Linked DNA regions of Sus scrofa. The protein of the gene in region 3 purifies or fractionates together with the protein of the main gene of each other region. This does not show direct contact. Links are inferred from orthologs where the notes say so. Each region holds a gene or a part of one and is shown on either strand. Other genes may lie near its edges. The genes, in order: ARHGEF7, TNIK and NCK2.

The links.
Region 1: the proteins of NCK2 (region 3) and ARHGEF7 purify together in Homo sapiens (affinity purification with mass spectrometry; 3 studies listed by BioGRID and IntAct, counting the BioPlex papers as one, with this or other methods). This does not show direct contact. The link is inferred for Sus scrofa from reciprocal best matches to the Homo sapiens genes NCK2 and ARHGEF7.
Region 2: the proteins of NCK2 (region 3) and TNIK purify together in Homo sapiens (affinity purification with mass spectrometry; 3 studies listed by BioGRID and IntAct, counting the BioPlex papers as one, with this or other methods). This does not show direct contact. The link is inferred for Sus scrofa from reciprocal best matches to the Homo sapiens genes NCK2 and TNIK.

Annotation. Positions count from the first base shown.
Region 1 is NC_010453.5:77,422,294-77,432,137, forward strand, and holds the start of ARHGEF7 (rho guanine nucleotide exchange factor 7), read left to right. Parts: upstream 1-5,058; 5' UTR 5,059-5,282; coding exon 5,283-5,447; intron 5,448-9,844. UniProt on the Homo sapiens protein: Acts as a RAC1 guanine nucleotide exchange factor (GEF) and can induce membrane ruffling. Functions in cell migration, attachment and cell spreading. Promotes targeting of RAC1 to focal adhesions. May function as a positive regulator of apoptosis.
Region 2 is NC_010455.5:109,647,639-109,657,382, forward strand, and holds part of TNIK (TRAF2 and NCK-interacting protein kinase), read right to left. Parts: intron 8,162-9,744; coding exon 8,061-8,161; intron 5,417-8,060; coding exon 5,267-5,416; intron 3,496-5,266; coding exon 3,336-3,495; intron 3,089-3,335; coding exon 2,949-3,088; intron 774-2,948; coding exon 690-773; 3' UTR 1-689. UniProt on the Homo sapiens protein: Serine/threonine kinase that acts as an essential activator of the Wnt signaling pathway. Recruited to promoters of Wnt target genes and required to activate their expression. May act by phosphorylating TCF4/TCF7L2.
Region 3 is NC_010445.4:49,060,629-49,070,196, reverse strand, and holds the end of NCK2 (cytoplasmic protein NCK2), read left to right. Parts: intron 1-4,968; coding exon 4,969-5,163; downstream 5,164-9,568. UniProt on the Homo sapiens protein: Adapter protein which associates with tyrosine-phosphorylated growth factor receptors or their cellular substrates. Maintains low levels of EIF2S1 phosphorylation by promoting its dephosphorylation by PP1.

The DNA.
Region 1 (9,844 bases), on a different chromosome or scaffold from region 3:
CTGGAAGGATAGCATCAGACCCACTGAAAACAAGGGTAAAAGAAGTAAAATCAAGAGGAAGATGAACATTAGGAGCCGATTCAAGCCCGATTTACGAAAGATAAAAGTTTTCAATCAACCTGCGCTTTGAGCATCTCATACAAGATTTTGTAAGGATTTGAGATTTAGGGAAAACCAACATTAGCAGTTACACCTTCGAGACCTGGACAGATCCAACAGAGAAGGTGGGGATGAGACAAAAGCTCAGGGGTCGGCGTGAGACTCCAGGGGACGGGAGCAGCTCCGGAGCCTGACCCCGTGGTGGTGACTCCGGCTGGAGTTGACAGACGCAGCACGAAGGTACCTGTGAAACCCGGCAAAATCCAAACACTGTCTGCAGTTTATACCGTCGTCAGCCCCCTCGCTGGACTGCCCTCCGGCTCCGTGAGACGTTTTCACCGAAGGAAGCTGTGTGAAGTCCACACGGGAGCTCTCTGGACTGTTTTTGCAACCTATTTAGAATAAATAATTTTATTCTAAAATTATTTGGAGTAAAAAGGTCTTTTTAAAATATAGCACAAAAACCTTACCTAATAAATATAAGCATATAATCTCTTGAGCCAAGCGTATTCATCCTTGTATGTTCATGGGACATTTAAATCTTAGCAAACTTTGAAAAGCAGAGATTTAAAGGCTCCATTGACTAACCATGGTCAGTGGCCAACAAACGCTCAATTCTTGTTCATTAAGAGATACATTCCTATGAAAGAGCGGATCAAGGAAAAGTGCAAATCGCCTTGGAAGCAATGAAGAAGGAAGTACTTTCTAATAAAACCCATGGGGAGCTCCCCCTGTGGCGCAGGATGTTAAGAATCTGACTGCAAAAAGAATCTCTTTCTCTCTCTCTCTCTCCACACACACACACACATATATAAAACTGGGTCACTTTGCTATACAACAGAAACTGACAGAACATTGTAAATCAACTATAATAAAAATAAATACTCAAAAATAATATTGAAAAAACAAGGCTACCAAAAAAAAAAAAAAAACCCGACTGTTGTGGCTCGGGTCGCAGTGGAGGTGTGGGTTCACTCCCTGGCCCCGCGCAGTGGGTTAAAGGAGCCGGCGTTGTTGCAGCTGCGGCAAAGGTCAGGTGGCTGTGGCTCAGGCTCAGATGCAGTTCCCGGCCGGGCATTTCCAGGTGCTGCGGGTGCAGCCGTAAAAAAGAACAAGAACAACAACAACGAAACCTCGTGGGACAGAGTGAAAGCCGTGTTCAGAAAAAAAAATAAATAAATAAAAGGGTAACTAATCCCTCCTCTTGGAACATGAGCAAAGGCAGCGGGAAGAACCACGGCGGATCTGGGCGTCAGCCCACGCCAAAGCCAACACGGCCAAGCCCAAGTTTCACTGCTGCTGGCAGATGGCGTAGGACCCAGGGCCAGAGACCGAGGCCCATGTGACTCAGCCGAGCAGAGAGCACGGCCCCTGGTTCCCACCAGGACCCCCTGTTCCCAAGTCCAAGGCAGTGCCGGCTGGGCTGGGGCGGGGGGCACGCACGGGTCATGGCTGAGGAAGAGGAGCCCCAGTTTACAAGCCCCGATCTTTAAAGGCACTCTCAGTGAGCCCACCCACACTTTGCCTCGCTTTTCTTTTTGTTTTTGTCGCTTCATAGGGCCGTCCCTGCGGCATATGGAGGCCAGATTGGAGCTACAGCTGCTGGCCTACACCACAGCCCCAGCTGGGAACGTGGGTTCCAGCTGTGTCTACAACCTACACCACAGCTCAAGGCAATGCGGGATCCCTGACCCACTGAGTGAGGCCAGGGATTGAATCCGCATCCTTGTGGATACTGGTCAGGTTTGTTTCCCCTGTGCCATGATGGGAACTCCAACTTTGCTGTTATTTTCAACCTGCTGGTCAGCAATCAACTTCGTCCTTTGCCTCGGAGGGGACCATGTCTCCATCTTTGAAAGGCTGTTTGGTCCCGAACACTCCTGAAAAGGTAGAACAGAAGCTGTCACTACTTCCGCTCAGATATTCAGAAATGTGAGAGCCTCGCAGACTAACAGCTCCCAACAAGGACACAAATGAGAAACTTGGGAGAGGGAAATAAACTGAAATGCATGAAATATATTTTTCAAAATCCATGAATTCATCATGATAACTTAAAAAAAAAATCACTGGTTTCCTTTGAAGGAAGCTGGGTCATGACATTGAAAACTGGTAAACGCAGAAAATTAGCACTTACCGCCTGTCCAACACAACGGTTCACACAGCTGACACGAACAGGGCTCCAGGGATAAGTACCAGGGACTGTCAAGCTTGTCCCCCCACCCGACCCCACCCGAAGTCTGGAACCTGGGAGGGGGTTACGGACGGCTGCTGGGACCAGTGAGGATGACGGTGGACCCGTCATGGGTGTGTTGGGACGAGTCTGGTGCCGAGGCAAGAGACACCCTGAGATTTCGCGTTTGCTCTGATGTCGAGTGACAGGAAGCACGGCCTCTGGTGGGTGTTTCCGAGCCACGATCCTGCTTGTGGGTTGACCTTTCTCCCCTCAAAGGTAGGTTCAAGTCTTAACTCCCAGGGCCTCTGGACGTGGTTTACGAATGGGTTTGCTGGATAATTCGATGTGAACCAACAATGGCCTGCTGCCTGGCTCCAGCCCAGCTCCTGCCAGGGCGAAGGGCAGACAGGGCGGAGAAGCTGGCCTACCGCCTCTGTGCACAGATGTGTGGGCAGTGCTGGGTGGCTGGGCTCCTCAGTGGGGGTCTGGAAGGGGCGAGATGGGATGAGGGGTTGCCAGGGAGTAGGGAAGGGCCTGTGATCCCCTCTCAATCTTTCAGGGAGCATCAGTAAAGGGGCGCTTGGCAACCGGTGCTCAGGTGGTGTCTGTAGCTGAGGGCAGCCAGGCCAGGCTCTGCCTGCCCCGCCATCGCCCTGCACAGAGGGCCATGGGCGGTGTGGACAGTGCGGTCGTGGTGGCGGGGATGGAGGTGTGCAAGAGACCTGCAGCGTGGACCCCCTCTCACCCACGGCCGAGGCTGCTTCTAACCCAATGCTGGTGGCAAGTTGGTTAGGGCAGAGCCCTGCATCCTGGAGGGAGAAGCAACCCACCTTCTGGGTAGACACCTGTAGGAAGCCAGCTTGGGGACAGCCTCCTGCAGGGCTAGGGGCCTGTCTTTCAGCGTGGCACACATGTTGAGCCAGTGGCTTTTAGATGGTGACGTGCCCCCCCCCGTAGCTACATAGCAGCATTACCATCACGCCCAACGGTCCAGGTGGGGAGTTTGCACCTTCCGCTCTTGCAATTCGGCAGTAATGAGAGCAAACAGGAATCTCGGGGAACAGCTACTCTCGACTCAACACCCTTCTGGTGATAGAGTCTCCTTGGGCACAACACTCGATGGAGCTGATAACTGCCCAGTTTCCCAGCAAGTGTACAGGGCGAGGTTTGGACCACGGGTGGGCTGTGTCCGTGCTGGAGCTGCAGAGCCCAGGCTTGAGTCCACCTCTGCCACTTTGCCACCTGCTAAATGGGGACGATGAGAGGAACTTCCTAAGACTGTCGCAGTGACTGTGCCACGCAATGCGGGGAGCTGTGACCGCCGTGCACATGGCCCTTATAACCCAGAATTCAGACTGCCCTTTGAATCACTCTGCGTTTGCATTCGGAAAGAAAACTTAACCACTTAATTCGAAGCTGGGAATAAACACAATTCATGATTACAAAAGAAGGACTCCGCAAGAAGGCAGAGGAAGAGGTGAGCTAAGCCTGTGGGTTTTTTTAATCTTCGTGTTTTCTGGCCTTTGTCACCAATTGCATTAACATATGTGCTTGGCACAGAGCAAGTTCTCTGTAGGTGACTGCGAATGCTGTCTTAAATTGCCCCGGGCAGTCATAGCCCGCAAACAGGCAAAGTGCACACTGGGTCCCTCCAAGGAGAGACGCTCCCTTCCTTAGAAGATGGTGTGTGTCAGCCCTCCTCTGAAGAAGTTTTTTCGTGGCTTAGCAGTTGGGCGGCTGAGCTCTTCAGCTCTGGCCCATTCGGACGCAGCCAGGTCTCTGACTGAGACCTCTTGCTCAGGGCCAGTCCAGCCAGGTTGCTTGTTTGGACTGAGTGAGCTGTCCTCACCGTCCTTCCTCCGGGATCATCTGCCCAGATCCAGTTCAGGCTCTGCTGTGTTCCTGACCTTCCTCCCACAGTGTCTGAAACAGCGCCATCAAGTTAAAGCCGAGTGGCTCCAAGGCTTCCGGTCGGGGAGAGTGGGACCACCGCATCCCGGCCGGTGAGGTCACGCACGCGGACGGGCCTCCCAGCAGAGGGCACGCGTGACCCCGGCCGCGCCACGCTCCGGGGCGTCCCTGTCCCCAAGGATGGCAGCAGCCTCAGGAAAATCAGTTCCTCCCCGAATTAGGCCCATCTGGTCACAGATTTAATTATCGTTGTGTTCGGTAATTATTGGCTTGCAAGGTAGCTGAGAGAAGCAAACGTCTCGTTTTCAGCTCCCCCCGCCCCCAACCTCTTGGGGAAAAAAAAAAAAAAAAAACCTGGCAAAAATAACGTTCATGAATTAGAAGATAAAGGATTCCGGGGCTTCCGAGGAGGGAAGAGGCGGCGGAAGGGCCCGACGGCGAGAGGAGCCTGGCTGGGCTCTCGCCTCAGAGGGGGCTGCGCTGGGGACCCGCCGGGCGCCAACGGCTACGGGCGCGCGCGGCCCGGAGGGTAGGAGGCCCGGCGAGCCCTCCCCGGCCGGCGGGCTGTCGCCTCCTGGAGGTCACCGGGCCCTTGGGGCGGGGGCCCAGCACCCGGCGGCGCAGGTGGGGACGCGCGCGCACAGCCGGCCCGGGTGCGGAGGGCGCACGGCGGCGGGCCCGGGCGGGCGCGGGGGCGCGTGTGCGGCAGCCGGGTGCCGGCGCGGCCGGGGGTCGGGGGGCCGGGAGGCCGGGGGCCGGGGCGCGGGGCCGCTCCAGCGCGGCGTCTTTCTTCTCCTCGCAGTGATGTCATCGGCGGCAGCGGCTGGCAGCCGGGAGGCGGCGGCGGGGGCGGCGCCGGGCGGCCGCCGCAGGTTCATGTGCATCTAATGAAAAGGCACTTGACAGTCGGCCAGGACGCACGCGAGGGAGCGCGAGCCGGCCGGACCGCGGCGCCGCCCGAGCCAATCGCCGTCGCCGGCCTCTCCATGGGCGAGCAGGAGGAGGGGGCGGTGGGCGCAGCCGGCCGGGCCGCGGCCGCTCCGAGGTGAACCGCGCCGAGACGGGCTCGCGGCGCGGGGAGGCCGGGCGCGCCGCCGCTATGAATTCCGCCGAGCAGACCGTTACGTGGCTCATTACCTTGGGGGTGCTGGAGTCGCCCAAGAAAACCATCTCGGACCCGGAGGGCTTCCTGCAAGCGTCTCTGAAGGATGGGGTGGTCCTCTGCAGGCTGCTGGAGCGCCTGCTCCCCGGGACCATCGAGAAAGTGAGTGCCCCCCGGCCCGCGCCCCCGCGGCGGACAGGCCCGGGCGCTGGGAGGCCCGGCGGGAGGAGTCCGGGCGGTGGGAGCCCCGGGCGGTGGGAGGCCTCGCGCCCCACCTGGCCCCCGCCGCGGCCCGGGATGCGCGGAGACGCTCGGGCGCAGGGTCGCCGGCGCCGGCACCTGGTGGCCGCGCGGGCCGGGAGAGCGCCGGGCGCCGCGGAGCCCACGCGCCTCCTTTGTGCGCGGACCCGGGAACGCGGCCCGCGCGGGGGGCGCGCTGGCGGCGCGAGGACCCGGTGGCGGGATCCCGCTCGGGGCGCCATTGTGTGCGGTGGCCGCCGGGGAGGGGGCCGGGCCGGGTTCAAGGGGAACGGCCGGGGGGAGGCCCGGAGGGAAGGGGAGCGCTCCGCTCTGCCCCGCCCGGAGGAGGAGTCGCCCCTCTCCGCGACCCGAGCCGAAAACCAACCGCTCCAGCGCCGCGCACAGCTGCCTCGCAGGCTTTGTTTGAACAGCTTTTGTTGGTGGTACCGTGTGAGAGTTTCGCCCTCTGTTTAACTGACCGATTGCGGTGCGTTTTTAAAAGATGCATTTATCAATAGCCGAGGGTGGGCTGTGAAATGATTTGCTGCCCTCCCCGCGGAACAATTCCCCTGTCCCCAAGCCCAGATGGCAGGCGCAGGAAAGCCCCGGCGTTCTTCAAGTCTGGCATAAGATCCTAGATTTCATTTTCAGGTTCCTACCTGATTTTAAACAGAGCCCCTAGTCCTGGAGACGTCTCTTCTATTGCCTGGTGGTTTCCTCGGGGCTGGAGTGTGAACCTTGACCACAACTCTGCGAGGGATTCAAGTTTGCTTCCTCCGGCTCCGTTGACTAAGTAGGGGCGAGCGGGTAGAGCGGCGGATCCCTGTACTTCAAAAACACTGCAATTCTATCCTAATTTTTTTTTTTTGCCAATACATAATCTTAATATCAGCAGTTACTTAAATGGTTTAAATGTAGAAATTAAAGTGCAGACTAATGAGAAATACTATTTAACTTTGAAAAATGGAGTATATCGGCCCAGCAGCACAGTATTAATTTGCTAATAATAAAATGTTAATTAGGTGACTTTAAAAAGTAAAATGTTTAATCTTTTTAAGTTTGCTCATGTTCTGGCATGGCATTTTAAAGGTCAGAAAAGATTTTATGTGATATGAGTTGTGTATACATATGAGTTTTAGGTATTTTCTTACTTGCAACATATTTCGGAAAGCAGAATCTGCATTTTAGGATGAATAGCCCTGGTCTGTCTGTCCAGGAAATAAAAATGGTGCTTCTAAATGAAGCTGATGTCACAATAAAATTATGATTGAAGATAGGAATAAGGAGCAGGAGCTAACTTTGAAGGCACAGAATACTTGGTTGTTATCTGGATATCAGGACCTCTAGTAATAAAAGACAGATGTTGAAACGCATTGAAAATGCAGGCTAACTTTACCAAAATGGGCTTATGTAAAAAAAATGGTTCCATTCCAAGAGTGAAGCTTTGAGAAACTTCAGAGGCTATTTGACCAAAACCTGTCATTGTTGATGCATGTGTTATTTGGCATATTCGCTGCGTGCCTATTGATTGGCAGACCTCAATAATCACTTTCTTTTAAATTGTTGAACGGTTTTCTTAGAAAACCATAGCATTCCTTTCACCTCGGAAACAACAAAGAGAGGAGTGAATAACATGTTTAATGCGCAGAAGCCCAACGGAAACAACCCAACATGTCCTAAAACTGGTCATTTGGAAACTTCTTACAGTGCAGCCAACCTTTTACCCCCCCGCCCCACCCCCCGCCCCTGACTTGTTTGTCTCAGAGGGACAATCTCAATGAAAGTTCAATATCAAAGTAGCACATTCTCTGTGGTACAAAGGTAGGTTTGGGGAGTAAAATATTAGCCATTCTCTGCCTCTAAAAACCCCTGGGTTTTAGAAGTCTCACGAGCCCGTTCCATTTCCTCAGAAGAGTATTTATTTGAACTTTCTGATGTTTGTATATGCACAGCAGATAGCGTTTGCCAGAAAGCACACGCGGTGAACAGCTTTTGCTCGAATGTTGGAATGTTAGTCTGAGGATGTTTTTCCTTCAAAAGGAACATTTGGGAACCTCACTGAGTATTCCTGTGGACGCGAAAGGATCTGAACTTGACCTCAGTTTGCCACATCAACACACAGGAGACTGGTTATCGGGGTGCAGGCAGCCTGCAACTTAACCTTTGCAAATGCACAAAATTTAAAACAAACCCTCAGGCTGGGGAGAGCATAGCGCAGAATCGGGAGAAGGTTCGGGGTGGCGCAGGGCTCCCATGTGCCTTTTATTAAGAAAGCATGTCCTGGTAGGTCTTGTGCTCGATGTTGGCTTGTTCTGTCTTAGGGCCGGCAAGAGGCTGGAGGACTAAACGGGAAGTTCGTCTCGGTTCAGACGGTTCTGCTCATTTTAAAAAGCATTCTGTTGAGGTTCCCTGCTTTCTTCGGGGGCAGGGGGTCCGACAGGACAAGAGGGGCTTATAGACTGTACACCAGCACTTCAGAAGACAGACCCGTCTCGTTATTGTCCACGATGTGGGGAGAGGAGGGGGTGTTACTAGTTCCCCCAAGTTTTGTACGAGGCTCTTCTGCTTTGACTTTGTCTAGTAATGGCTGGGATTTTGCTGACCTGCCCACACTGCTTGCGTCTGTCATTCCTCCTGTGATGAGAAACACACGCAGGCCACGGGAGCCAGGGAGCCCCGCGAATTAACACTTTAAACAGCTCTGGACTGGCTGGTCAGAGGTCGAAATTGAGAGACAGTGATATTCCCCCTCTGAGCTTCTGCACCATTAGGGAGACACAGTCAAATAGTGGAAGTCACACCAGGCTGCTTAATTCTACTGGTAAATGCAGCAGGTGCAGTTGCTTGCATCACCGTGAAATGTTCAAGGAACGTGGTTCTTCTCTCGTTGCCCAGGATGACAGAACACCGTAAGCGGTCACGTGTGGCCCCGGAGATGCCACCTGTTGGTATTAGTGGAAAGCAGCCGAAAGTCAGATGCCGCCCTCTGGTCCTGCTGGACACCCTGGGGGTGCATGTGCATTCAGACTGGTCGAAGCTGTCGGGCTGTGTCTTAGCTTCTCAGGGCTGTGGCAGCAAAGAACCCCAGCAGGCACCCCCGAGCGTCAGCCTCTCACATCCTGGAGGCGGAGGTCCCACATGGAGGTGGGGGCGGGGCGCTCCCCCGGCAGGTGCAGGGATGTTCTGTCCTGGCCTGTCTCCCCACCGCGTCTCCTCTGTGTCCAGACATCCTGTTATAAGGACACCAGTCCCTGGACGAGGGCCTCCCTCCCAGTGTGACCTCAACTTAACTGATGACCTTGGCAGCGACCTTGTTTCTAACTAAAGTCACGTTCTGCAGCCTGGGGCTCAGGGCTTGACCGTGCGCATCTCCGGGTCCCAGCCAGCCCACAGCAGGTGGCATGATAAGTTGGAACCAAGTCAACTTCCTAAGGACCTACCTGCCTGCAGGGGACCAGCTGCTGTGGGAGAAAATGAGACCAAGACACATGTTCTCATGGGTGTGCTGGTTCAGGAGAAAACAGCTGAAAACGAGCGCGGCGTGGGATGGAAGGCAGGGAGACGTCCGAGCCGGGCGTAGACGGAAAGGAGCGAGGAAGAAGTTGCTGGAGGGGCCTGCGTCCGAGCTGCCCAGCCTCTGACGCGTGTTCTGACACGTGGATTAGAATGTGGTTTGTAGTTCCCAGACTACGATCTGGCAGCGTGAACTGATCTTCCACGGGCTTGTAGAAAATCTTGGTGAATTCTGATGCTGTGTCGGAAGAAGACGTGGCTTTTTCCTAGTGGATTCCTGACCTGCCTTCTGCTCAGTCCTAGGATTCTGGGGCGGGGCGGGGGTGTGGGAAGGAAAATGAAGACCTCATGGCCGCTGGGCTGTAGTTCTGAGCGCCCACGGAAAGAAGTTTGCCTCTTTCGAGGCCCTTTTGCCCTGAGAAGGGTGTGGTCAGCAGCGGCAGTGTGGTGTGTGTCGGGGGTTGCCTTCAGGACGAGCTGGTTCGAGAGGCCAGCGTTCTGTTGGAAATAGCTGGTGAGGTACTCAGAGAGAAAAGCCATACGTCTTGTTCTTTTAAGGAGACTTCTTCAAAGTTTACAAACTGAAATATTGGCTGTATTAAGTTGCTTCTCATGAATCTGCTTAAGGTTTTGGAATGGTTTGTTTTGTAATAATAAACATCTGTTTTTGAAGCACGTGACTTTCAAGGACTGTCTCAGCCCTGCACCAGGGTGATTCTCGTTGGGGTTTTAGGCCCAGAGAAGGGGATGGCTGTGACTGTGTTGGCTGGCTCCTTCAAAATGAAGTGAGCACACATAAATTCATT
Region 2 (9,744 bases), on a different chromosome or scaffold from region 3:
TTAGTCTAAGGCTAGTAGTTTAGCCATTTAAAATCTATTTCCCAAAAGAGGGGAAAACTACTATTTTTCTTCTCTTTTAAAAATTCATTAGCAGTTGCTATCAAAAAGCAACCTTTTGGGTTGGTGAAGGCGGAAGTTCTGAAATCACCCCACTATGCAGTTATAGCCTTCAGTGTAAAGAGATAAGGTACATTTATTGTGCTGTCTCTCACCACTTGAAATTGGAAATTTTACAACATATCATATACTTAAACCTAGCAGGCAGACAGAATTAAAAACAGACATTTTTTCTCAGTATGCATTCTCTCCCCATTCTTACAAAGTAAGGGGGTAAAGAAAAAAAGTAACAAAACAAAACAATCCACCGTAACACAGCTTAATCATAAGAGCACACAATATTTGTTTCTATCCCTAACTCCGAAGGGCACATGGTCCATCTTTGTCCACAGACAACGCAGCATTCTTGGGGATCTCCTGGAAATTCCTGCCACCCTTTTCTCTCCTTCTCAACCAGGCTGCAACATTGAAAGATGGACTGTATTGGGACGGGTAGAGGGAGAGGAAAAGGGGAAAGCGGTATGTTCAACCAAGCCTTCTGATTCTGCCTCTAGACTGGCATAAGTCCACATGAGTTATGTTCTTTTAAATTAGAAATAACGCCATGAAGATAAGTGCCAAGTGCTCTTCTGTTACCAGTTCATCATGGAATTTCTGTTGAGGGTCATGAAAAACACTTGGCTACTTCCTCCAGATCGCACGGATGCAAAAAATACCTGTTTGAAATTAAAAAAAAGTTAGTTCAACTGCATGGTTTCTTTCCCTCTTTTCTTCAACCGTCCATCCATTTTCTCTCACATGTTCTATCCTTGCCATGTGTCAGCATTTAAGACTCAAGGGCAGGTGTTTATAAAGTGCCTTTTAATACAGTGCATCCTCTGCCTTTATTCCTATAGTGGTTGCTATTACTTATCATGGTATTGGCCTTCAGGGACCCAGAAGGGGCTATATCTTGATTTGGAGCAACCCTTTGGGGGTTCACATTTTACAAGGGAGTTTCCTACTGGGAAAATATGCTGGATTTCTGGTCTAGGATACAACAGGTCCTTTGTTAATTTTTGGAAAACCGCAGGGGCTCTCCTTTGCTCTCTCATTATGACAAGAGGGCGGACCTTGGGAATGAAGAGAATCCTGTCGACTTCACAAAGTCAAGGGGGAACGTGGGGGCTTACTGACTATGATACAACTTTGGTTATAAATTTTTAAAATAAAAAAAGTAGTTCTGGTTAGCTACGGTAAGGTGTTTAATGTCTATTCACTTTGGCATTTCAAGAGTTAACTTGTAGCTTCTCTGCTGATGAAGCATAGCCTAGCCCAAAGGAGATCACAGCATTAATGAGAAGAATCACAGTCCATTAAGTCTGGGTCTGCTAAATCATTTTATCAAACAGATGAGAGCAGTGAGCAAAATTTGGGGTACTGCTTGCTTGAGGTGAACATCAATGAACCACTGCCCTAGGAAAATAACATTCTGGGCTGTGGCCTAGCCCTTCAGTCAGCCAGCACCAAACTTTGGTCCAAGGCATTTACTTTTATCACTAGTATAAAGTCTCTGCTACCTCATTTCCACAACTTCTTCAGAAGAATGTTCTCTCCCAACAATTTAGGAAGTTCTGTGGAAATTCTTGTCATTCAACTAATGCTACATATGTAAGTAAAGCTACTGTTAGGGTCAATGAATTAAAATGGGGAAGGAAGCACAGGGGACCCATGGAAACACAATGAAGGAAAGAAAGGGCTGCTGTTCTCTCTGGGTTCTGCGTGCCCTGGCTCTAAACCTTGGACCCTGGATATTGGTGTGGTCCCAGCCTGCTCATGAGGGTGTGGACATGGTGTGGAGTAAGCTTTCTGGGATGGGTCTTCAATGAACTGGAATGTGGGGGTCCATGCTCAGATCACTCCTAGTCTTATGATCCCCAGAGACTAGATGGTAGCTGGAGTTTTACTTGGGGTCACTTCTGTTTACTAACATCCTCTGATAAGACCCTGGAACCCTCCTTGCCACGCTCAGCTGTTGTCCACCCAGACCACACCAGGTCAGAGTAGCTGGCTATTCCGGGATTGGACTAAGACTAGCCTGGCTTCTGAGGAATGGGCGTGGGCTAAGAGATGGACATCTGTTTAACCCATCACATTCTTTTCTATAGAGGTTTGTGTCTGCTGTTCTGGGGACAACATTTCTAGGTTGGCCATAGTCACAAAAGATGAATCCACAAATACAGTACAGTTTAGCTACTAAAAAGTCTGGGTTAGTCTACAGGGAGGGCAAGGGAGAAGCACTGCTGCAGAATTCCCTTCTGGGCGACTGATCATGCCAGATGGACACTGCCAATTTCACTGGAAAACAGTCCCCCTACAACACTTCTGAAGAAACATGGCTGGAATGACACAGGACATGGCACTAGTTGAGTTTGTGATTTTCATTCTTTGAGGAATGGGCGACACTCTCAAAAAAGTTTATATTTCTATATGTCAAATGTTTTACATTGAAAGTTGAATATAATGTGATGGATTAGGTCCCAATAGTGATTTTGTGAAAAGTCTAAAAGTGGACTACACGTTGACCCACTGTGAGGTGATTAATGATGGGCCAACTCTTCTAAGTGCTTAGGAGAATTTAGGGTATCTGCTGAGTCATTTTAAGGCCTGCAGGCCACAAAAGTTACTAAGAGTTTACAAGAAAGTTTTAGATGTTTTCATGTCTTTTTTGATGTGTGAATAACATATTTTGAGGGTTCACATGAATCAAACCAAATAATGCCATTTTAAGATAATATTGATTGCTTAACACAGATGTGATTCAAATCAGTATAAAGGAAAATGAAGGTTTCACAGGTACCTGGTGGTCTCTTAAAATGCAAACACTAATGCAAATGTTGAAACGGATTTACCTTATCATTTCTTTCACATAGAAACTTTAACCTTTGAGCTCGCTTATGCATAAATACTCCATCCAAATGTCCTGTTTCCACTGACCGGATCTCAATAGCTTTCTCGCCCCAGCCCATTATCTGATTGGAATGAATGTAGGCTGTCAAAAGGAATTTCCAAAACTGCATTAAAAACATTAGATGGGCAATAACTCACAGCATCTGTTCACATCTTAACCACAAAAATGACAAACGACTTGAGATAAACAGACAAAGCAAGTCTTACAAGTGTTATTCACAGACTTTTTTTTTTTTTTTTGTGGAATCAAATGGTTGTTTCACATTTCTTGACTTTCGTTTCATTTGGGGGGTGTAACTGCTGAAGGAGATAAGGAATGGTTAACCTACCCACAGACGTGGGCATTTCTCCCCATTGGAGCACCACATCCTTAGTTATCCGGCCGTAGGTGTTTACATACACCCCCTCATCCTCATAGCAAACAAGCATTTCCATTCCATCTGTTTTAGGCAAGATGACAATGGCATGAGGAGTGATATTGCCCTGAATCTAGAAGACAAAGAAAGGCCAGACATTATTCTTTTTAAAAATAAGACAGACTCTTGACTGTTAATCTCTAAGAATTTCAAAAAATAAAAATTAAAAAAAAGGGGTTTTCCTTTTTCTTTTTCCAGTTGCACTATAGGGACTGACATTTTGCTTTGCTTAATTTAACTGCTGACCTTTCCAATACCCTGGTAAATACAAACTTAGGCCCTTGGTCAAGAATCCAATTTACCTCTTCTTGAAAGCAAAAAGGACAACTACCTAGCATCTGTCCTGTGTCAAAAGAGGGCCCTTTACATAGGTAACTTCTAGCCCTTAGAATAGCTCTCCATGCTCAATGTCTTTGTCTATAGATGAGACAGCTGCATCTCAGAGGGGTTATATAACTTGACCAAAGCTGATGATAGAATTGGGATTTGAGCACATTCTCATGAACACTGAATATCTTGTATTTTCTATCTACTTCCAAAAAAGATGAGGAGAATGCAAGCCAGGGGAATCTGATGGAGGTTGCCTAAGTGGGGCCCAAAGTTGGGACCAAAACAGGCTATGAACACTCAACACAGATTGTTTATCTGGGTGCTAAATAAGAGGATAATCCAAATTAATGGCTTACTGAGAAAAAAAAAATTAAAAATTACCATTCATTAAAAAAAAAAAAACACATACTGTTCAAATAAATGTAGATTGACTTGTTCAAGAAAGAGAGACAGGGTGTTGCTCTGATCCCCTGGTTGAGAATGTCATGGTAGTGCAACAGGTGCTTGGTGGACATGAATGAGGACAATCACCACGATGGCCCTGTCTCCTCACCAAGAGTCCTCTGTGCACACAGACACACACGCACACGCACACACACACACACGTGTGCACACACATGGCAGCATGAAAAGCTGTGATGCAGCAATGATGACATGTGTCATGCACTAAAACCACTTCTTTTCAATTGTTGTACTTCTTTGGAGTAAAGTCTTTAAACTCCCAATATACCAAACAGCAACAGATTGGGTTTCTACCCTAAGTTAGCCTTGGGATTACATATATATAGGAAACAGAATTTACACTGCATTCATCCTACTGCATGAAACAGGGTAGCATTTCCCTTAAAAGTCATGTTTTAAGCAATGTGTCAGTATAGTGATATTAATACTACACTTTGCAGGGCCCTGTGCCAAGTACTTTAGATGTTTCACCTCATTAAATACTGATAATAACCCTGTATGATGGGTCCTTTTAGCCCCATTTTATAGATGTGAAAGATGAGGAATGGAAAGGCTGCCTAATGCATCCATTATTGCAAAGCAAAAACATGCTAGAGCCTGAGTATGTGCTCTGGTTTGATTCCACCACATCAAATTGTAAAGAGGAACACAAATAGCAAGAAAAGGACAATTGGCCTTCTCTCACATAAAATGAACCTATTTCCTTCAAAAACTGAAACTAGGAGCTCATCTATTGTGCTCTTGCTTAAAAAACAGAATGCTACCCTTGCATAAAAACATGATATGCATTTTAGTGTAAAATCCAATGAGACAAAATGTCCAGCTAATAGCAAATAAGTGCTATTATGCGTTACTCAGTTTTAAGCAGCCTTAACGAATTAAATTTACATGTTTTATTTATTAACAGCATCATCTATTTAGTGAAGGCTGAAAGTCCATCTGCTTTACTGATTAGTCAAAGTTAGCATGAGTTCCACTAAACAGGTGCTGAAACAAATCTGTACATGCAGGTTGTTGTAGAGTGCCTTGACAGTCCGCTTCCAGGAACTTACATGAGATGGTATGTAGATATCATAAGAGTTTCCTGAATCAACATCAATTACATGGAAACCAGTATGCGAACCAAAAATAACCTTTAATCTTTGACCTTCTTCTACTGTGAGATCAACAAGCAGTGGCTTGTGCTGGAGATCTGCAAAAGACTAAAAATCACCACATGAGTGTTCACATCATTCAAAGAAGTTATCTTAATAATTTTTTCCTTGAGCTATTTCCTATGGAAGTTCATGTCTAATTTTCTTAAACCGAAAGGCTAGGAAATCTTTCCCCTTCCTTCCTCCCTCCCTCCCTTCCCCTTTCTCTCTTTCTTCCTCTTTCTTTCTTCCTTTCTTCCTTCCTTCCTTCCTTCCTTCCTTCCTTTCTTTCTTTCTTTCTTTCTTTCTTTTTCTTTCTTTCTTTCTTTCTTTCTTTCTTTCTTTCTTTCTTTCTTTCTTTCTTCTTTTTCTTTCTTTCTCTTTCTTCCCTCCCTTCCTCCTTTCCTTCCTCCCTTTCTTTCCTTTTTTCTTTTCTTTTCTTTCTCTTTCTTTCAAGGATAATTGATTTACAATGTTGTCCCAATTTCTGATGTACAGCAAAGGGACCCAGACAAACATATACATACACATTCTTTTACTTATATTATATTTCTTTCAGTATTAGGTTTATCTCTATGCTGGCTCTAGGAGGAAGAGCTTGGCACCCCTTTCTCTACCCCTTGTCCTCCAGGGCAGAGAAGATGGTCTACAGTTGCCACTTCATCGTTTATGAAACACCTGTGCCTGGGTGCTGCTGTTTTTTTCCTCTTTATTTCTGGCCTTTTCTCTAAGAAGAAGGTCCAGTCACTTCTCTGGGTCCCTCCTTCCCAATGACAGCCAGGTCTGTGCAGAGACAGCCTGGGTGGGCAGCGGGCTGGCTCTGTGCTAAGCCTGTTCAGGATTAACAGGCACATACTCTCGTTCTGACCATCCTTCAGTGAGCGAGTGCATCAGATTGACACTTTCTCCAATTTGGGCCATAGCGAAGGATGGTGGGGGGTGGGCACATCTCAAGACTCATGGTTTACACTGGCTAGCTGGGTTTAACTAGCAAGGAAAAAAAGAGCTTCAGCTGTGTTTATTGTAGTTCTGTGTATTAGAACCCAGAGTCTAAGCCCTAGCTAGCTGTTTTCTTTTGCCATTATTTAATCCACACTCTCCCTGTATTGACCTTCAAGTCTGGGAGAGTCTTTGTGAAACCACAGGTGCCTCAGCTATGATGCCATGGCCACCTAACAGACCCCTCCCTCTTCATGTTACAATGATGCTAACATCCTTCCCAAGTATGGGACGTTCGAGGTTCATCTCCTTGTCCCAAGGCAGGGCTTGACACCCTGCCAGCTCCAGTCTTTCCTGTTCAAGTCCTTGCCTTTGCTCGTCCCTCTTTCCAGGCTGGGCAAGGTTTGCTGAACAAAGCATTTTGCACTCAACTGTTCACTTTGGCTAGTGAACGGATGGCGGTAACTTCAGAACTGGAACGGGGTCTTGATTGAAAAGCTTTGGCGAAGACAGATTTTGGCAGAACAGCAGCACCACTTCAGTTTTCAGGAGCCAGGCCTTAAGTGTTATTACTAACCCAAGCATCCCCCCAATTTTTCTCCATAAGCAGGGTTATGGAGGGGAGCCCATTTCCATGGATGAACCTATCTTCCTGAGCACATCACAGATGAGCTCCTTGTGCTAAGAACAAGATTGAAGTGGGGTGATTCAGCCTTGATGAGGGCCACATAATGTTCCCAAGGCAGCTTCTGCCCTCACATGGCATTAAGAAAGAATACATAATGGGTCAAAGAAAGGCAACAGTCATAAAGGTAGGGAGAAAAAGGGGGGGCCATGGAGATTTTATAAGGAGAGAGATGTAGGCAGAAAGAAAGAATGAACAGAAGATAAATTCACACTGGCTCTGGACAGACTGTATAGCTTTGAAAAACATCAGGGTGCCTGTAAATACTGGTCCTTCTGGCATTTGGGGGTCAACTTTCATGAGCTGGAGTCAACAGGACCAGCATATCCCAATCTTAATTCTGTTGAAGCTCATGAGTGATCAAGCCAGCCATGGTGGGTACAGACTTAGATAAGATAAAAAATGAAAAAGTGTCAAAATTGAAGGATGCAGAGAAACCAGGCCAGTTCTATACGTGATTACATTTAGTATTCATTTTAGAGCAGTCCAATAAGCAATGGGGATATAGGAACATCAAGTGAGTTTTAGGGACTTGACCCAAAAGGCTTAAGAGGATTATAAGATTTAGAGACTCAGTTCAACTTTGAGATTCAGTGCTGCTGTTGGTCTGCCTTTTTCAGACGAAATATCAGACAGTGACCTAGTTGGGTGGCTGTCAATGAATTTCATTGCCTAAGATCACAATGAATGGTTTGCCTGGTAACCATTCCATACTAAATCTCACTTTGAAATGACGATGCATAGACCTGAAATGGAGGAGAGGGTACCCAGATTTTAATTTCACCAGCTCAATACCATTTACTAATACCTAGTCGTTGCAAACAAATATGAGTTCCCACATTTTTTTTTTGGCCTTGCCTGTGGCATGTGGAAATTCCCAGGCCAGGGATTGAACCTGAGCCATAGCAGTGACAATGTCAGATCCTAACTGCTAGACCACTACGGAACTCCTGAGTTCCTACACTTTTAAGGAGGTTTATTATACATAGAAAAATTGGTGCTAGTCTATGTGAAAGATGGATCACTGTTAACTGGTGGGAACCTAAACTAAAAAATAGGACCTTGTTAGGAAATCACATGCCTGCTTACCTTAAATGCCATGAACTTATGATAAGGTTTAGGAGCCCAAGCATATATCTCCACAGCATTCTTTAAGGCAATCACCAAGAATTTGATCCTTTCATATTTAACTGTAACAGAAAAAGTATTAATTAAGAAATGTTTATTCAAAAAATGTTTTTATGGCCACATCTGCAGCATATGGAAGTTCCCAGGCTAGGGGTCGAATCAGAGCTGCAGCTGCTGGCCTATGCCAATGCCAGATCTGAGCTGTATCTGCAACCTACACTGCAGCTCATGGCAACGCCAGATCCACTGAGTGAGGCCACGGATTGAACCCACATCCTCATGGATGCTAGTCGGGTTTGTTACCTCTGATCCACAATAGGAACTCCCTATTCAAATTTTTGTATTAACAGAGATGTAAATCACTATATATGCATATACATGATTGTCTTTAACTACTAGATATAGATGTGAATTATTCATTGTAAGAAGACTCTGTATAAATATCCTTCATGTTTTCTAGCCTAGCTTTTGTGGTGTTTTTGGCTGCTCTGTGGCATATGGAGCTCCTGGGCCAAGGATCAGATCTGATCTGTAGCCACAAACTAAGCTACAGCTGTGGCAACACCAGATCATTAACCCACTGTGCCCGGTCAGGGATTGAACCTTGTCCCAGTGCTCCCAAGACACTGCTGATCCCATTGTGCCATAGCGGGAGCTCTCCTTACCTAGCTTTTATGTTCACCCACATATATGTAGCTGAGAGCTGGTAAGACAAGATGGTAGAAAAACCAACAAATGGGTAGAGACACAATGGCTTTCATTTGCTTTTATTCAAATTTGGATTCCAGTTATCAGGAATTTAAAAAGGACCAGTGCCCTTAATGTGAGACCCCAGACAGACCTCTTTCCCTGCTATGTGAAGTTGTAACAAAAAGACAACTGTCTGTGAACCAGGGTGGGGGCTGTCACCAGACACTGAATCTACCAGCGCCTTAACCCTGCACTTCCCAGCCTCCAGAACTGTGAAAAATCAATTCCTGTTGTTTATAAGCTACCTGGTCCATGACATTCAGTTACAGCAGTTCGAACAGACCAAGACAGTTTTTTTGTTTTTGTTTTTTATTTTCCCACTGTACAGCAAGGGGGTCAGGTTATCCTTACATGTATACATTACAATTACATTTTCTCCCCCACCCTTTCTTCTGTTGCAACATGAGTATCTAGACAAAGTTCTCAATGCTATTCAGCAGGATCTCCTTGTAAATCTATTCTAAGTAGGATTTACTCTTATAATCATCTCTCTCTAGTTCTCTCTTTCAAACATACACATTTCTTCCTCTCCCGCACCTCCAATACAGTTACATGTAACATTTTTGGTTAAGTCAATGTCCTGTGTTTAAATTATTATTGTTCATAGATGAGTCACACAGTATACCATTACTATATTGTCTTTCTTGTTTTCTCCATTTTTCACTTCCTTATTTTCTATGTATCTATCTCTAAGTACATGCAAACTTTGTTAGTGCTCTAAACGCCTTTAATGCAGTCAAATACAGCAGGTAATCCTTTAGTAACATTTTCTTTTCCTTGGAGGTTCCTCTTCTGGAACCCTCCATGATACTCTGCCTGGATTTATTTATTTATTTTTTTCTCTTTCTCTACACCCACACCCACACCCTAGAGGTTATGCTTCTCTGAAGAACCC
Region 3 (9,568 bases):
AAAAAAAAAGAACTCATTAGGTTTATAGCAGATTAAATACAGCTGAAGAAAGGATTAGTAAACAGGAAGATAGCTCAGAGGAAGAAAGACTTTAGGATACATACACACAAATATAAAAGGACAGAAAATGCAGAAGAGCATAGAGCTTTGCTGTGCACAGAATATGTTGGTCCATTCCCACCCCGGCGCCCCCCCCCCCCGCCCACCCTTGCTGGATTCCTAGGTTGAAGCCTGGTCCCCAGTGTGATGGGATTAGGGGTGGAGCCCTCACAAATGGGATTAGTGCCATCGTAGCAGAGACCACAGAGCACTCTCCGGGCCCTGTGCCATGTGAGGGCATAGAGAACGCAATCTTTGAACCAGAAGGCAGGTCCTCAGCAGCCACCAAACCTGCCAGCTCCTTGCTTGTGGACCTCCAGGCTCCAGAAGGACAAGGGAGGCCTCTGATGTTTTTAAACCACCCAGTTTATGATATTTTGTTGTAATAAACAGAACTGAGATTCACAGGATCCAGTGTGAGATTTCACATACATGTAATTGGTGTCCCCAAAGCCAGGAGGGGGAGGGGTGGACAGGAGCCTGGAGCCATGTTTAAAGACAGATGCCTGTGCCCCGTGACTAGTGAGGGGCCAGGCCAAGTCTTCTGGCTTCAAGTTCAGCACCTTTAGATCATCTTTTATTATGACACTCAGCACACAGAAACCTTCATTTAAGAAGTGCTTGTTTAACCCAGGTCCGGAGGGTGGAGAAATGGGGCCCAGGTCAGAGTCACTGGGAGATGCTTTCACGCCCATGTCTGCCTTCTGGTTACACCTCACTGCCCGCTGGAGATAACTGCTACCTTTAAGCTTGTGCTGATCATCTTCTTTGCTGTGTCTGTGTCTCTGAATGGTACATTTTGGTTCCGCCCACTGCTGAATTGCCTGGTTGGTGAGCTACGGTAGCTGTTCTGTGCTCATTCTCTTGTCTGCCCTTGGGGAGATTTTTCAGTCCCCGTTGACGCATCTATTTTGTTGCTCAGTGAAGTGTCCCCTCCAGTGAGGAGTGTTGGCACTCGGGGCCATCGTGACTGGTCCTGCTCTGAGCCCACCCCCGGGAGCACCTGTGCAGGCTCTTCTGAAACCAAGGGCATCGGTTGAAATGGTTCAGTCCTGGGGAAAGCGGGTCTTCAGCTTCTCAATCCTGCAGACACTCCTTGACCATGTGGCAGTGCTGGCTCACTCCCCCTCACCAGGCCTAGCCCTTTGCAGACAGCCCCAGGTAGCTTCCTGTCTCAGCTCCGAAGGCCCCAGGTGCTGGGCTGCTGTGAGCCTCGGACCTCTGCAATTCAGGGGGGCCAACACACAGCTGTCAAGTTTCTCCAACAAGCTTAGGTTGGGGCAGGGGACCGGATCCTCCTGCCAGCACCTGCCGCCAGTGCAGTGAGCGTGGCTCGCGTGACTCCCCCAAGGAGGTTTCAGGAAGCCAGCCTAGGAGGACCACAGCACCTGGGGGACCACACTGGTGGCGGGACTTCTTGAGGGTCCTCTGCTCATGGAGCAGAGCTCTCCTGGTCTGGAGCAACCCCATCTCCATCAGGTCCAAGGGACTGGCTCGATGTGGCAGGGAGAGTGTCCCCACTGTCCAATCCGGGGCTTCCCCAGAGGAGACATCTGGAGGAGAGCCTGACTCCTCAGGACGGCCTCCCCCAGGCACCTGCAGTCTGGGGCTCAGCTTGGCCCCTGAGCTCCCTCTTTCAGGGGCTGCATAGCTCACAAATCACATTCATCTTTTTCCTCCTGGCTCCGAACATTAGCATCTCTTGTGTGGTGGCAGGGTCGGGTTTCATCTCTCAGACTGCGTCAGGGCTCCCCAAGGGCTCCTAAAGCACAGATTACTGGAGGTTAAAACACAGACGGTCAGGCCCCACCTCAGAGTTTCCGAATAGGGGTGGGTCTGGAGCGGGGCCTGGGAATATGCATTTGTGACGAGTTTCCCGGTGATCAGGTGCTACTGCCGTTCTGGGAACCCCACGTGAGAAGCGCCCGTCCAGCTCAGCATCAGGCTGCGGTGAGAATGTCTGGCAGTAACACAGAACAGTGCGGTTTGGTGCTTCGACTGGAAAATGTACTCACGTTGAACTGAGAATTCCCCAAAGCTCCAGAACCCCAGCTTGACACAGACTTGGTTCGTTCTACATTCTTAAGTTCCATGTTTCTGCTCAGGAGCCCACTAACATTAAAAACCACCTCTGCTGCAGCAGTTTGACTGCCGTAACTCACATACACGTGACACACCAGGACATTCAGTAGAAGAGCTTAAATTAAAAGCAAATTCAGAAAGTCCTCTTGATCATGGGGCTTGCTGAATATTGAGTCTATGATCTACCAGCTCTGAGTCACCTACTCCCTCCATATGATGAACTGATTCAAGTAGCTGTACATACAACTACCTCAGTGCCTGGCTTGTGCTAAGCTCTAAAACCGAGATCACCCTCGACCTTTATCTAAAGGCACAGAATGCATGTGCTTATAAAAACGAGCAGGAGCTTGGCTTCCTATCGTGGCTCAGCAGTTAACAAATCCGACTAGGATCCATGCGGATGCAGGTTCAATCCCTGGCCCCGCTCAGTGGGTTAAGGATCCGGCATTGCTGTGAGCTGTGGTGTAGGTTGAAGATGTGGCCCAGATACTGCGTTGCTGTGGCTGTGGTGTAAGCCAGTGGCTATAGCTCCGATTCAACCCCTAGCATGGGAACTTACATATGCCACAGGTGCGGCCCTAAAAAAAAAAAAAAAAACCAAACGTCGCTTCAAGACAACACAAAGCCCCAGGAGAGAGCTGAGCAGGTCCTGGCATGTTTGTGCTGCTGGACACAGGGCTTCCCCTCGTCCACCGAACTGACTGCAGTGTGACAGTGGTGGCAGGGCTTCCACGTGCAGAGCACCTGTTGGGTGATACCTGTTTGAGTTTGTTCTCTTTTCAGAACCACACACAGCATCTGACCTGGATGGTGATGCTGAGGCCAGCTTGCATTCATCTCGTTTGTCAGTCCTGTGATAATCACAGTGATTTGAGAATTGTGCAAACAATTACTGAGAGTACCCTTCTGTGCTGTTTAGAATATGATGTTGATAGGGCTGGTTGACAGGATCATCTGTGACATCAGGATCCCTGATGGGTCATTTCTCTTTTTTTTTTTTTTTTTTTGAGGGTCCACCCAAGGCCCCCCACACCCCATCCCCACCCGCCCTCCTGGGCTGGCTCAGAAGATCTCTGCCCCATGAGGGTTCCTTCCTTAGACATCTGGTTGGGGAGATAATTTTCAGGTTCTGTGTCCCCCTCCCCAGCCTGTGCGGGCCCCCAGTCCTCTAAGGGCTGTGATTCTGAAAATAATACGTAGCCCAAGACCTAATCAGAGCCAAACCTTCCTGTCTCTTGCTTCGGTATCTTGGTAATTGTAATGGTGCTGCTGTGAATATGAACATTAAAGTACATGTATCTTTTCGAATTATTGTTTTTGTGGGTTTTTTTTTTTTTTTTTTTTTTTTCAGATAACACGCCCAGGAGTGGAATTGCTGGATCATGTGATAGTTCTGTTTTTTGGTTTTTTTTTGAGAAACCTCCATACTGTTTTCTGTAGAGGCTTCACCAGTTTGCAGTTTGTATCCCCAGCAACAGTGTACGGGGGTTCCCTTTTCTCCACATCCTCACCAACATTTGTTATCTGTGGTCTTTTTGATGCTAGCCATTCTGACGGGTATGAGATGGTACCTCATTGTGGTTTTGATTTGCATTTCCCTGATGATTAGTGATGTTGAGCATCTTTTCATGTGCCCGTTGGCCATCTGCACATCCTCTTTGGAAAAATGTCTGTTCAGTTCTTCTGACCACTTTTTAATTGGGGTTGTTTGTTTGATGTTGATTTGTATGAGCTGTTTGTATATGTTGGATATTAACCCCTTATCAGTCACATCATTTACAAATATTTTCTCCCATTCAGTAGGTTATCTTTTCGTTTTAGCAATGGTTTCCTTTGCTCTGCAAACACTTTTAGGTTTAATTGGGTTCCATTTGTTTTTGGGGGGGGGTTTGGTTGGTTTTTTGTCGTTTTAGGCCTGCACCTGCAGCAAAGGGAAGTTGGCAGCATAGGGGTCAAATCAGAGCTGCAGCTGCCGGCCTCCACCACAGCCACAGCAACGCAGTCTGGGATCCGAGCCACATCTGTGACCTACACCACAGCTCATAGCAACACCGGAGCCTCAACCCACTGAGTGAGGCCAGGGATACTAGTTGGGTTCATTACCACTGAGCCACAACAGGAACTCATTTGTTTGTTTCTGCTTTTATTCCCTTTGCTTTAGGAGATGGATCCAAAAAACTATCGCTGCAATTGATGTCAAAGAGTGTTCTACGTTTTCCCCTAAGAGTGTTATGGTCTTATATTTAGGTCTTTTCATTTTGAGATTTTGGTGTGTGTTTATGGTATTAGAGTCTTGTAATTTCTCTGATTTACATGTAGCTGTCCAGCTTTCCCAGCACTTCTGTCCTTTCTCCATTACATATCTTGCCTCCTTTGTGGTAGATGAATTGACCCTAAGTGTGTGGTTTGCTTCTGGGCTCTCTGTCCTGTTCCTTCGATCTGTGTGTCTTATTTTTGTGCCACTACCATGCTGTTGGCTGAACTAATAATAGTGGTAGAAGTGAAATTTCTAGCTGCTGCCACTTTTTCCAAATCCAAGGAATAGCTTGGGCACCAAAAAATTAACACTGGTGAACCCTGGTGCTGTACATTCCATAAGGAATCTCCAGTTTTCAAATAACTAAAATACATTTAGCACCAAAACTGCACTAAGCACAAGGTAATTTTTCCTTTGATCCAGAGCATGAGCATCTCCATGGCCCCCGGGCCATTCTGCACACCGGGGTGGAAGCGGAGCCCGGCGTCCCTCCGAGCCCGGGGCTAACCCGTGTTCTCTTTCCTCCACAGCCCAGTGACTTCTCCGTGTCTCTCAAAGCATCAGGGAAGAACAAGCATTTCAAGGTGCAGCTCGTGGACAATGTCTACTGCATCGGGCAGCGGCGCTTCCACACCATGGACGAGCTGGTGGAGCACTACAAGAAGGCGCCCATCTTCACCAGTGAGCACGGGGAGAAGCTCTACCTCGTCCGAGCGCTGCAGTGACACCACCGGGTGCTCCGCGCTCCCTGAGCCCGGCCATGCACCCCAGAAGAAGCCCACATCCTGGGCCCTCCTACCAGCCGGCCCCCGGGGTTCGTCCTGCACCACTCTCTCCGCCTGGTTTCCCTTCTGTCCGGGTCGGTTTGTTTTCCATCTGCCCCCTTCGGCATCCCAGGCCCCCCCAGCCGGCTCTGGAGGCGGGGAGGGGGCCATGGGCCCAGGGCTCACCTGTTCCTTCTCCATGGAAACAGCCTTAGTCTGTGGACATCGCTCACGCCATGTGGCCCCCCTTCAGGACCCGGGCGCGGTTTGAATGCACCGAAGCTGCCCTTACTCCTGAGCTACAGCACCCTCAACGGCGGGCCTGGCTCTGGGCGGCACCTGCCGGGGCCCTGGATCCGGGTGCTGGGTGCTCACACAGCCCCAGACTCCGGGGGGCGACCCCACGCGCTCCTAGCAATACTGGGCCCCCCGGTGAGACAGGAGGGAAGAAGCTGTCCAGTGCCTTTGGGGCTGCGCTTGCAATAAAGAAAAGAGGTCCTGGGAAGTCGGCCCACAAAGGCGGGGCCAGAGACGTGGAAAGATGGAGGTTTTGGAAATTTCCCCCAGACGTGCCATCTGCATAGTGCTTTTTCCTCTTGCCCTTCAGCTTGCTTCAATTTCACAGTTATGTATTTAATTCTCAAAGTTATATGTATCTGTAGCCATTTGTTGACACTAATCCAGATGATTAAGGAGAACAGCTGATCTTTGGGGGAGGGGCGTGACAGACACTTGACACACACACACACACAAATATATATATATTATTTGCTTTATGGGGAAATTTTTCAGGGTTTACAAAAGAATATGTGATCGGTAGTGAGAGACACAGAATGTTTATGAAGAAATTGCGTTTTCTTTTTTTCTTTACATTTGAACTTCTTTATAGGTGAAATATATACAGTCTTGAGGTGGCACATTCCTACAGTTGAGGAAGGGGTCTTGGGACCTCCTAAACTTGTATACTCAGTTTTTTGGATATTGTAATAAAAAAGTATTATGACAAGACCCCGTGTGTGCTGATCCTTGGCGAAGCTCTGACTCAGCAGCCTTGACTGAAGACCCGGTGCCTGGAAGGGAGCGTTTGTAGAGAGGAATTTGAACAACTTTATCACTCGTATGTTTTCTTTTTTTACCATTTTTGTATCTTGAAATAATAAATTTTAATGCCTGCAACTCCAAGAGATCTAGAATCTCAAACTTCGTGTTAACTTTGCTCTTTGGAAATTATCTGTTCAAAACTATTTCAGCAAACCGCAGTCAGGTCAGCTCACCTCCCCACTGCCGTCTGCCTTCCCTGTGCCCAGGAGGCCTGCATGGGCACTCGCAGGCCGGGCACTGGGAGTACAAAGCCCAGGGCAGGTGTCGTGCCTCCGTGGGCTGACCGCAGCTGATGTGTGCCCAGGGTGCCTTTGGTGTATCCTTGTTCCTGCTCCGGCAAGTGGCCCTGTGGCATGCCCATAGCACAGATGGAGAAGGCACGAGGTGACCGTGGAGGGGCTGGGCAGGGGCTGGGGGTGAGGAATGGCCCTTCTGGCAGCAGAAAAGTGGGTGTGGTTTGAGTCAGCACTGCACCCGCCAGTCCTGTTTTGTCTTTAGTTGGGGATTTGGTTGTTACCTTTGAATATAAAGAAGTTTGACAATGAATTAGAAGTTTGATGTCTGGTCCGTGAGGTGGGGAGCACCCAGTGACATAAGAATAGAGGTCCAAGCAGGTGAGGCAGACCCATCACCTTAGACAACACAGGTGGGTTCAGACCTCATCGTGGATCACATTCCCTCCCAACGCTCCATCTCCCTGTCATGGGTTCCACGTTGACCTTGTGTGGGAATTCCGGTAGACCACAAGTGCCCAGGGAAGCGGAAACACTGAATTACACAGTAATTAAAGGACACGCTACAATCACACATTTTGGCCTCAGAAACTTCTTTAAGGCCTCTAGTTGTAATTGACAATGACAATGATTTTTTATTTTTATTTATTTATTTATTTATTTTGCTTTTTACAGACCCATGGTATATGGAGCTTCCCAGGCTGGGGGTCAAATTGGAGCTGCAGCTGCCAGCCTCCACTGAGCCCCAGCAACTCGGGATCTGAGCCATGTCTGTGAACTTATGAAGCTTGCAGCATCGCCAGATCCTTAACCTGCTGAGCGGGGGCCAGTGATTGAACCTGCATCCTCATGAATACTAGTCAGGTTCATTACTGCTGAGCCATGGCAGGAACTCCTGATGATTTTTTTTTTTTTTTTTTTTTTTTTTTTTTTTTTAACCTCAACAACATGGAGGGAGACTCTGGCTGCCTGGGGTGGATCAGAATTCGGATCTGTGAGGTTCCACCTGGCCATCCAGCCACCAGGTTGACAAGGGCGAATCGCTAATCCCAGTATAAGCGTGTTGATGGGTTCGGGCTGAGGCAGGGTCCCCGTGTGGTTTGGAGTGTGCATCACCCGTTCTCTGTCCAGGTGGCCATCACCTTCCTGCCATCACCTTCCTGCAAGTGCACACATTTCCTGGACAAGTCTTGGTTTGCTGTTCCCTCACCTCTGCAGAGACAGCGGAGGACACAAAAGGTCAGGCCTTTCAGGAGCTGTGTGACTCTTCTCATTTGTCTGTATTAAATGTGCCTTCATTTTCCATAAGCAGCCTGTGACTTACAGTCTGGAGGTACCAAGCTCTTGACACGCAGCTTATGCCAAATGCCCTTAAGCCCTCTTTCCAGGGAGCTAAAGCTGTCTGTCTTTTATAATTAGAATCTTTATATCTGCCCAAACTGGCATTTCCAGACAAAGCATTTTTGGTGCTGTGTTTGCTTTCTGTGTGCTGACTAGTTTATAACCTACTTTTCTACTATTTTTCCCACCCAAGGCCAGAATGCCCACATAACTTCTGAAGTCCAAAGTTCAGAACGGAGAGGATAAAAAGGCTTGAACATGTTTTTTTAAAATACTCCTTTTCAATGATGGCAGGTCTGGTTTTCTCACTAGAATGCAGCATTGTTCATCGGCTAGGGGAGGATTAGCGGGATTGATGTCATTTCTGCTCTGACAACCTGGCCCAGGTGCTGTCTGCTGTCCCAGGAAGCAGCCTCCTCGTCCAGACCTTGGAGCTCCTGGCGGGAGCGCTGGGTCCTCCTTCTTGGATGTCAAGCAAACCTCTGGCTCTCCCGACTGTTCGCTCAGGAGTCAGTGGGGCTGTGTCCCTCTTTGAAGTTCACGGGCATGTACATGGAATCACACAACATGCCCTCGAGCACAGCAAGTGCCAGCCAGCCTCTCGGGATCCGTGCAACATGGCCCGCCCTCCTCCTGTGTCCTCACCCCAAGTGGCTGACATTCCACATCCCTGGGAAGCATTCTCTCTCAGGAAGCCCTTCCTTTCTCAGCCCGAGTGGACGGCATGGCTGCCATCGGGCACTGCGCCAGCACTGCACGAGCCACAACCAACACCCCGAAGGCCTTTGCCCCGACTCAGCTCAGGCTGCTATGACAAAATACCATGACTGGACAGCATAGAAAGGATAGATTTATTAGAGCTCCCCCTGTGGCGAAGCGAGTTAAGGATCCAGCACTGTTTCTGCAGTGGCTCGGGTCACTGCCAAGGTAAGGGTTCGATCCCCAGCCTGGCACAGTGGGTTAAGGATCTGGCATTGCTACAGCTGTGGCTCAGATTCGGTCCCTGGCCCAGGAACTTCCATATGCCGCAAGGCATGTGTCAACCTGGAGGGTGACAGCTCCAGCCTTGAGAAAATGCTCCTTGACACGACTCTTCAAGTGCTCAGATTCCACCGTGGGGGCGGGGGGCTCCCTGAATCTTCCGTGGGTTGGGGGGCTGCATGGCAGGTCCTAGCTGGGCCCCCGCCTATGTGTACACCTCCTGCAGCCTATCCCAGCCTACCATTCCTTCAGATGGTCTAGAGAGAAACATCCGATTGTGAAGAACTACAGTGTTCTCTTTTTAAAAAAATAATTCTTGTTTGCCTGAACCTCCGCTTGAATTTCTCCTACCATGGCTCCCAGTCTCACAAGCTAACTGGAAAGATGTTATCTTCCATCTTTGGGGGATCCTGTTACTTGACAGTAAGTCACTATTGAAGATGGATGAGCCCAACAGCTGGTATAAAAAAGCTCACTGTGGGAGTTCCCATCATGGCTCAGCAGAAACAAATTGACTAGTAACCATGAAGATGCAGTTTTGATCCCTGGCCCTGTTCAGTGGGTTAAGGATCTGGCATTGCCATGAGCTGTGATGTATGTGGCAGACTCGGCTCAGACTAGTGTGGCTGTGGCTATGGCTGTGGTGTAGGGCAGCAGCTACAGCTCTGATTTGACCCCTAGCCTGGGGACCTCTATATGCCCCAGGTGTG